Tribolium castaneum: one gene and its partner. The protein of the gene in region 2 binds, or shares a complex with, the protein of the main gene of each other region. Links are inferred from orthologs where the notes say so. Each region holds a gene or a part of one and is shown on either strand. Other genes may lie near its edges.

Region 1 (3,491 bases), on a different chromosome or scaffold from region 2:
CTTTACACCAATGAAATACGAATAATACTGATGTTTCTTAAGACGGGAGATTCTATTTATGCGTGACTGCATTAGCAAAACCCTCCCGGCAGAATATGTCAGATGAAAAGCAATAAACAATTATTTTGAAGAAAAAAAAACATTTTAAATTCAAATTTGTATGATTTAATTATTTTTTGGACGCTTTTAGAATAAGAAAAACGTTGTAATCTATACTCGAAAAGCTTAAAATAACTGTTTTGTAATAAATAATAATTATTAAAATTGACCTTTTCAATTGCTTTACTATACTCGTAGTTCAAATTTCATTTATTTTGTTATGGTTTCTTAGACAGATTTGAATCAATTTAACCATTATTAAGTATATAAAGGTTATCTTAATTTTTTTTAACGATAAAAATATGTTTTAAGTCACATCAGAGCAACTGTTGTATTCAACTAATTAGAAGTTCTAAGAATTATAAAAATTTTGATAAATTGTATTAGTCTGCGCTAATTAAATGTCGTAACTAATTCCACTATAATTTTAATAAATTAAACTAGATATAGTATTTATTAATCATGTAGTATTAAATTATTGCCATCTTTTTTTATTTAAATACATTTCCAAATAAAGAATATAAATTGTTAAAGTATTTTATAAATGGTGAAAAATTGTGACCTAGTTTTACGATTAATATCTACCGAATAATTAATTTTCTTGGAAAACCAAGTATTACACATTTTTTCTTCTTCAAGTGTATTTAACTGGAAAAACCAAATAACGCAAGAATTAAGTATGTCATTGCCAATATATAGATATCGTTACTCATCAAGTCATCATTCATCAACCACCAATTTGCCCGGTATCTTTTGATGAAATCTGAAGAATTAAATTAAAAAATAGTAGAAGAAAATGTTTTCTCGAGCAAATTTGCGGATTTTTGAACTAAAAATATTTGCGTTTTACGTGAATTATTGCAATTATATAGTTTGTAATGTTGGTTTAGTTAAAAAATTTGTGTTAAAATATCTGCAAAACACGGTCAGTACCTGGGGCCTCGTGGCCCAGTGGTATAAGCACCACTTACAACGGGGGAGGTCGGGGGTTCGAACCCGGATCAGGTGTAACAATTTTTCTATGAAAAAAAGTGTAGAAAAGGTAAGGAAACAACACGTAAACAAAAATAAGAGATTGAGAGAACACATAGGCGTATAAAAGTAAAGCGGAGCTTAAAACTGAGAGAAATAAAAAAATAATGCGGCAAAAATGTAAAAGAACGTAAAGGCGCCAAATTGTAAACGTACTTTTTGTTTTGAGAGAAAAAGAAATGAACGTAAAGGTTACTTTTATTTGTTTATAACATAAACTGCAGAGGAAATCGATGTACAAAATTAAGGAAATTACACGTTTTAAAGAAAACAGAGAAAATTAAACAAAATCAGGATTTTTTTAATATTCTCATAATGGCCGTTTTTTTTGTTTCCGTTACCTTTTTTGGCAGTTCGGTCATTGCCCTAGCATTTTCAAATTACCCACACAGTCGTCGTCATGACAACCTAATTGTTTGTATTCAAAGTTGACAGGTAAACAAATAAAAAATTCGACCAAAAACCACAAGACGTAATTTTTGTGATGTTAATGATGGTAGTTTTAGAAGTTTTTACAAAGAATATAAAAATTTCTTATAAAAGTACTCTTCTATCAAAAGCATCGGTGCTAGCCCTAATTTTTGGGGTCTTATCGCTTGTGTTACCATTTATTTTTGCATACAAAAGCAAGGGTAAGAAATTAATTTTAATAAATTAGATAGTTCTGATAGCAAATTTTCAGGCTTGTGGTTAAAAAGAGACACTTTTTATGAACAACCGGATGTAAAATTTCGAGGAGAATACATTTTTGTTGCTACTACGAATAATTACAATAAGTCTGTTATAACGTGTAGTAATTTACCCCACTTTGATAATGTATTGCGGCCTTTAGATACTTGTTCAGTCATCAAGGTTTTTTTTTTCAGTTTTGTAACTATTAATTTACATATTGTGCCTTTTAGGTTCGTGAAACTGACAGAAATTTTGATGGTAAAACAGAAGAATTAGATTTGTCTCTCCAAGTTAATCTTCCAGTTAATACTCACCTCACGTCTTTTTGCATAATCATTCCATTTAATTATAAATTACAAGTAAGAAATTCGAATGTGTTCTTTTTTCTATATTTCTGTTTTTTTCCAATAGGTTTGTCCTCTTGAAATGCAGACTGCCATTATTTTTCAAGAATTGTTACCATTTTATATATCGAAGTATTCATTGGTGGCTAATGTGGTTGTGACCCAAACTAGCCCCTTAATTTGCCACAGAAAAAACACCAATACGTTATTTAATTATCCTGTGATTGTGGATAATGGGGATTTAAATAACTATGACATAAATACCATTATCACAAACTTTTCAAAGAGAAACAGTATAAGTTAAAGAATCTACAAAGCAATAACTAACATATTTTTTCAGTATCCACATCATTGAGAGACGTCTATAAAAGTTTTTCTCCTGGAAAAACTCAAAATTTCGTATTAAACTTAAATATAGAATTTCCAGAAGACAGGATATACTACAAGCCGGGCTTTTGGCAAGTACTGAAGTGGGCCTGGATCCAGTACCTCTCACTTTACATAATAATCTCATGGATAATTGCAAAAATAAAGCACTATATTTTTAGCAGGAGATTAATACTGTTTTTTGAAGAAAATCCGGTGAAGAAAAAACAATAAAAATTTAACAAACTTTATTATCATCGTTTTATTTACAACGTCAAGTCTAGTGGCTCTGAAGACGAACTAGAAGACGAAACTGCGTTCCTGTTGTCTTCCAGAACAATTGCTGTTTGTAGGAGATCGTCCACTTGAACCAGGGTGGTGAAACCTAAATGCACCAAGCCAAGTATAGGCGCCAAATTCAAAATCGACTGTAGTTCGGCTTGCTATCGCAGATGTCGCACACACGTATAGTCAATTTTAGCGAAGCTACCTATAATATCGGCAGAAATTAACAGTGGACCTGTGACAGTTGCCATTGTGTAAATCGCCATTTTGTGCTTGGTTTGTTTGGTGTTCGCCCTCGGCTTTGTTTTATGTGAAATTAGTACTGTTTTGTGGTTTTTTTCGTGTGTGTGCTTTTTTGAACTTTTTTATTGTGGGAATATAAATAATTTGATGGATCAATCATTAGTTTATAGTTATCGTATCGTGTATATTGACTAGTGATAATAAATTTTTATTACAAGTTTATTGTCTTTATTTATTCTCATATTTTATTTTTCGTATTCTTTGTAAATATTCAGCAACAATAGTTGTCTAACATCAGAAAGTGTTATTAGCAACTATTGTTGTGAATATTTACAAACAATACGAAAAATGCAATCAAACTTTAAAAGAAAAGTAACTACGGGCAATTCAAATCGCCCGCCGATAACGCTTAGTACGCGCTGGCAACAATAGATGTGCTAGTGACACTTT
Region 2 (4,423 bases):
ACACTTTCTGATTATGCGCCGACATAACCCCACTTTTACAAAATCAAAAATAATACTAAAATCAACCTCTAGTCATACAATACTGCAAAAACTGGTCACTTTGTACCTAATCTGTGCTTAAAAATAATAATTGTTACACTTTTGTGTCATTTCCTAACCTCAAATCCGTTCCCGACTTTTCAAAAAATACTCAGGCCAGGCAAAATTCCAAATGATTGCGATTGCCATCAGGAGACAATACGTGACGATAGAGAGCCACCAAATGACCCGTTCGACCGTTGTCACTTCTAGGTTTCTTAGGACGTTGAGCCCCACCAAGAGCCCGGCAATAGCCCCCGCAAAGTGGGCCATGTACCCGATATGTTCGTCCATTTCGAGGAAATACCGATTGTAAATGGCGGTCCCAATGTCGGAGGCCATAATGATCAAAAAAATAAATAACTGGACGATGGGGAACGACATTTCCCTCCAATTCATTATAATGGTGGCTATATGTGCCGTGATGAGGGAGTAGACCCCACCGCTGGCCCCCGCAAGTCTCACGGTGGGGTCGGCGATTGAGGTAGCAAGCGACCCGGCGAGGACCCCCGCGAAATAAATGAGGAGCACTCGCCACCACCGGTGCACCATTTCTAGCGGAGTCCCCAGTAGAATTTGCACCAAAAGATTGACAAACAAATGGAAGGCTCTGCAATTAATTGGGTGGCTAACGTCGGTCAATTGTTGATTAATTACCCAACGTGCACAAACATGTAAGTGATGAACCGCCAAGCCTCCTGTCTCTTGTAGGGGTCGTAGATGAAGACGGAACTGATGGGGCCCGAGGCCGATTTGGTCGAATCCGCCTCGATTGCCTCATCCACACAGAAAAAAATGACCTCGATTAGCGAAATAATGATCATGCCCACGGCCGGGGGGTAGCAGGAGTACTGGTCGTCGTAGGCCCCGTCCACCTCGCTGGCGCCCCGTCGGCGGGGCACCACCATCTGGATGTACCTGTTGACATAGTGCCCGAAAACGTACTGGAGGTCCGGGTGGTTTATCATGTCCACGAATTCGGTGAAATCGATTCGGTCGTCGTGGTTCTGATCGGCCATTTGGTGGATTTTCCGCACGACGTGCTCGGGGATGTCGTGGTCATATTCCCGGCTCTCGATCAGGTCATTCAGCTCCCCGATGTTGATAAAACCGTCATGGTCCCGGTCGTACTGAAAGCGCAGTTTGGGTGATTGCTACTAAACTGGGGGGCTCACTTTGTCGAAAATGCTGCGGTAGTAGGCGTTTTTGCGGCTGGCTTGGAGCGGCGTCTCCGAGTTGGCCATGGCCACATAACCTCAATTGGCGCACACACACAATCACTGTTTACGTTACTAACACTCGTGTTACTACATGTTATCACTTATTATTATTATCACTTTTGTTTTGTTAATTATCATTACACGGTTATGTTTTGGTAACTTTGGGCCCAACTGGGGGAATTCCGCGCCTGGCAGGTTTGAAAAATGGCGCGCGGCTAACGTCATTGTTGTGATTCACGTGTAAAACACTTAAAATGAGTCAGGAGGAGACTTTGGTCAAATACACGGCAATTTACAGGTGCTCGGATGACATCACCAACTTGAAAATAAGGTAAGTAAAGACACTACGTACACAATTAAAGTTCAAGGTTCAAGAGTGAAGTTGCGCCAAGTGGGGGATTTAACTGGCGAGGATTCGGACGGTTGGGAGCAGAAAGACTTCGCCTGGCAACAGAAATGCTTCAGCAAGTCAGAAAGGGAGTACTACAAGGACGAAAAAAACTGTATCACAGATCTGGAGAAAAAGTACCATTCGGACGTCGGGGAATCACACACTGAGGCGCATTTTGACCTGTTTTCGTACACCAATGACGACGATTTTGCCCTCAAACAGGAAGTTAATGACAATTTCCGCGAAAATTGCGACGAAAATGGCCAGGGGTACGACTACGGCCAGTCACTTGTGGCAGCAGTGCGAAATCCCATTGGTCATAATTACGAGTTTGAGGTCATGTACATCATGGCGGACCTCGGGTAATTCCCCCGAAACGTCCGAGTGACTATAAAGCGATTTGTTCGTAGCGAATACATCGATTCGACTTGGCTCAAGCAGGAACAAGTCCTGTGTGTCGTTAAATACGACCGGAAGTACAAAATATTATCAATTAACCCCGACTTTACCAAATCCCAGCCGTATTTAATCCGACTTGAAGGCGCCACAATTCGCAAATATCACTATTTCCTTGAGAACGTTTCGGCCCAAATGCCTGAGGAAGCCCACCGTCGCGAAAAAGAATTAATCCGAAAAGTGTGTGTTGTATTATCCCCGAATTTATCTTATTTAAAGAATTTGCAGATAAATGGCCACAAAACCGAGCTTTTGAAATGTTTGAGTTTCAAACTTCCCGCCAAAAACAAACTGGCCGTTCATTTGTTCATGGAACTCGCGTGGGCGCAATATTTCGAGTATGGACCAATCTACGTCCAGTATTTCATCGACTTGCCGTCGGATTGGTCCCCGACTGACCAATCGCAACTGCAGGGCGTGACGCAAACGTGTCACGTGACTGGCGATGAGGGTTTGGCCCATTTCGGGCACGTTTTCGACGTTACGTTAGAGTACAATATCGAGGATTTGGGCAAAAGGGGAATCCCCAAGTGCCCTTATATCTACTTTGAGGTTATTTCGAAGGACACTTGGAGTCGGTATAGGACTGAAGGGCTGACTTATAAGGCCTTGCCCGTTGCCAAGCCGGGGAATTACCGGTTTAACCTACAATGTTTCCGGTTAATCCCCGACCGGATTTCCGGTCAGTTACGCCGGTTTTTTATTGGCGATTGTTCAAGCTATGGTGACTTGACTTGGGTGGGATTACCGAAACATTACGATGTGAGTTGACTAAATGAAAGGTTACTAAGGCTTAAAGCGGGCTTAAGCCGACACCGAGTGTTGCTCATTTAGGTTAGGTTTAACTAAACCTCGGCTTATTGCTAATATTTTTAATAAATTATTATTGTAGATAACATTATAATTTTGTTGAAATTGGTCAATTTTGTTCAATAGTATAAACTAACACTAGAAAGCAAAAAGTTACTTGCTTGCATTGGATGAAAAAAAAAACAGCAAAAAAAGTATAATGATAATAATTCACTTATTCTTATTCCATCAATATATTTTATCAGTATTTTTTTTATTGTAGGACAAATTTTTAAACATGAAATAAATAAATGCCGCATTTTATTGATACATTTTTAAACATAAGATTTTTATTATAACGATATTATTGCTACAATGTACCGAAATATTGATAAATGGTGACATTAATGAATCTTAACCTAACTTTTTAAAATCAGAACTGTCATAAGTGCGCAAGCGTGCAGTACTACCAACCGCAAAGTTAAGTTCAGCGCGGCTTAGCTGAGCAACACTGCAGTTTAAGCTCAGCTTAAAATGGCGAGCTTATCTAAGGAAATTTTTTTTCCAGGGGTCTGTTTTAAATAAATATGGGACTAACACGGTTGGTACCGGTCTGATCAGCGTGACCGTTCACGTCGTCCATCAAAGCCAGGCGTTTCTGGACAAATACAGAGAAAATTCCGAGGAAAATTTGGAAATTTTCGAAAAATTGAACTCGTCAAGTTTGGTCAAAAGCGTGGAGCAAGTGCTCCAAGCGTTCAAAAGGGCCCGAAAAAACATGATTGCGGCCCGGAAATTTTTATAATTGTTGTTTTATTTTGAGAATCAATAAACGTGGCAACGCCGCACTAGGTATAAACCAAAATCGATATATCTGGGCGAGGGACGATCGGACCGGTTCGGGTCACATCGGGCGACTTCGGGCTGTCTTTATCCATGTTTTAGCCCCAAGTTTGGGCTTTGGCCCCATGGTGTGCCTGGAACTGGCTTCCAGTTCACCCCTCTGTCTTTTGGGATGCTCTGGGGGGCTCAAGTGCCGCTCGAGTCTTAGCGAGGTCCCCGTGGCACGGCCGCCCTGTTGCCACGCGTCCCCCGTTCATGAACCTGTCTCAAATTGTAACACAGTCGCCTATTTTGCAAGTCATTGACACGTCGCTCCTTCGGGGGTGCCATCGATAAAATCCATTCCTGTAATTTCTCTCGTCACGTGACTAATAATTTCAATTTTTAAACAATTCGTCTATTTGTGACCGGATCGATAAGGCGGCCATGGCAACTCTTTTTTCTTTTTGGTAGTTTTTGCAATTGTGTTGGTACTTCCCCAAGTCGGGATTGGGGCCAGGCGTACCAACGTGTACATTGTTGTTATTTTGGGCGAAAAACGAGTCAATTTAAGCCGTAATTTTTTCGTCGTCGTGTTGGCATATCCCCTTTAATATAACAGTCTAAAATCGCCCGTCTCTCTCGCACCCACTGCCAGTACGGGTAA

Evidence for each region.
Region 1: Mks1 (region 2) and transmembrane protein 231 share a complex: the UniProt entries of both Homo sapiens proteins name them as parts of the tectonic-like complex. The link is inferred for Tribolium castaneum from reciprocal best matches to the Homo sapiens genes MKS1 and TMEM231.

What each region holds. Positions count from the first base shown.
Region 1 is NC_087398.1:6,906,590-6,910,080, reverse strand, and holds transmembrane protein 231, read left to right. Parts: upstream 1-1,532; 5' UTR 1,533-1,615; coding exon 1,616-1,763; intron 1,764-1,813; coding exon 1,814-1,983; intron 1,984-2,033; coding exon 2,034-2,162; intron 2,163-2,214; coding exon 2,215-2,440; intron 2,441-2,487; coding exon 2,488-2,747; 3' UTR 2,748-2,779; downstream 2,780-3,491. Other genes in the region: mitochondrial import inner membrane translocase subunit Tim21, read right to left, coding at 2,780-2,884. UniProt on the Homo sapiens protein: Transmembrane component of the tectonic-like complex, a complex localized at the transition zone of primary cilia and acting as a barrier that prevents diffusion of transmembrane proteins between the cilia and plasma membranes.
Region 2 is NC_087401.1:10,812,970-10,817,392, forward strand, and holds Mks1 (tectonic-like complex member MKS1), read left to right. Parts: upstream 1-1,489; 5' UTR 1,490-1,552; coding exon 1,553-1,629; intron 1,630-1,673; coding exon 1,674-2,051; intron 2,052-2,099; coding exon 2,100-2,325; intron 2,326-2,373; coding exon 2,374-2,907; intron 2,908-3,502; coding exon 3,503-3,739; 3' UTR 3,740-3,782; downstream 3,783-4,423. Other genes in the region: rhomboid-related protein 2, read right to left, coding at 160-688, 736-1,208, 1,254-1,322. UniProt on the Homo sapiens protein: Component of the tectonic-like complex, a complex localized at the transition zone of primary cilia and acting as a barrier that prevents diffusion of transmembrane proteins between the cilia and plasma membranes.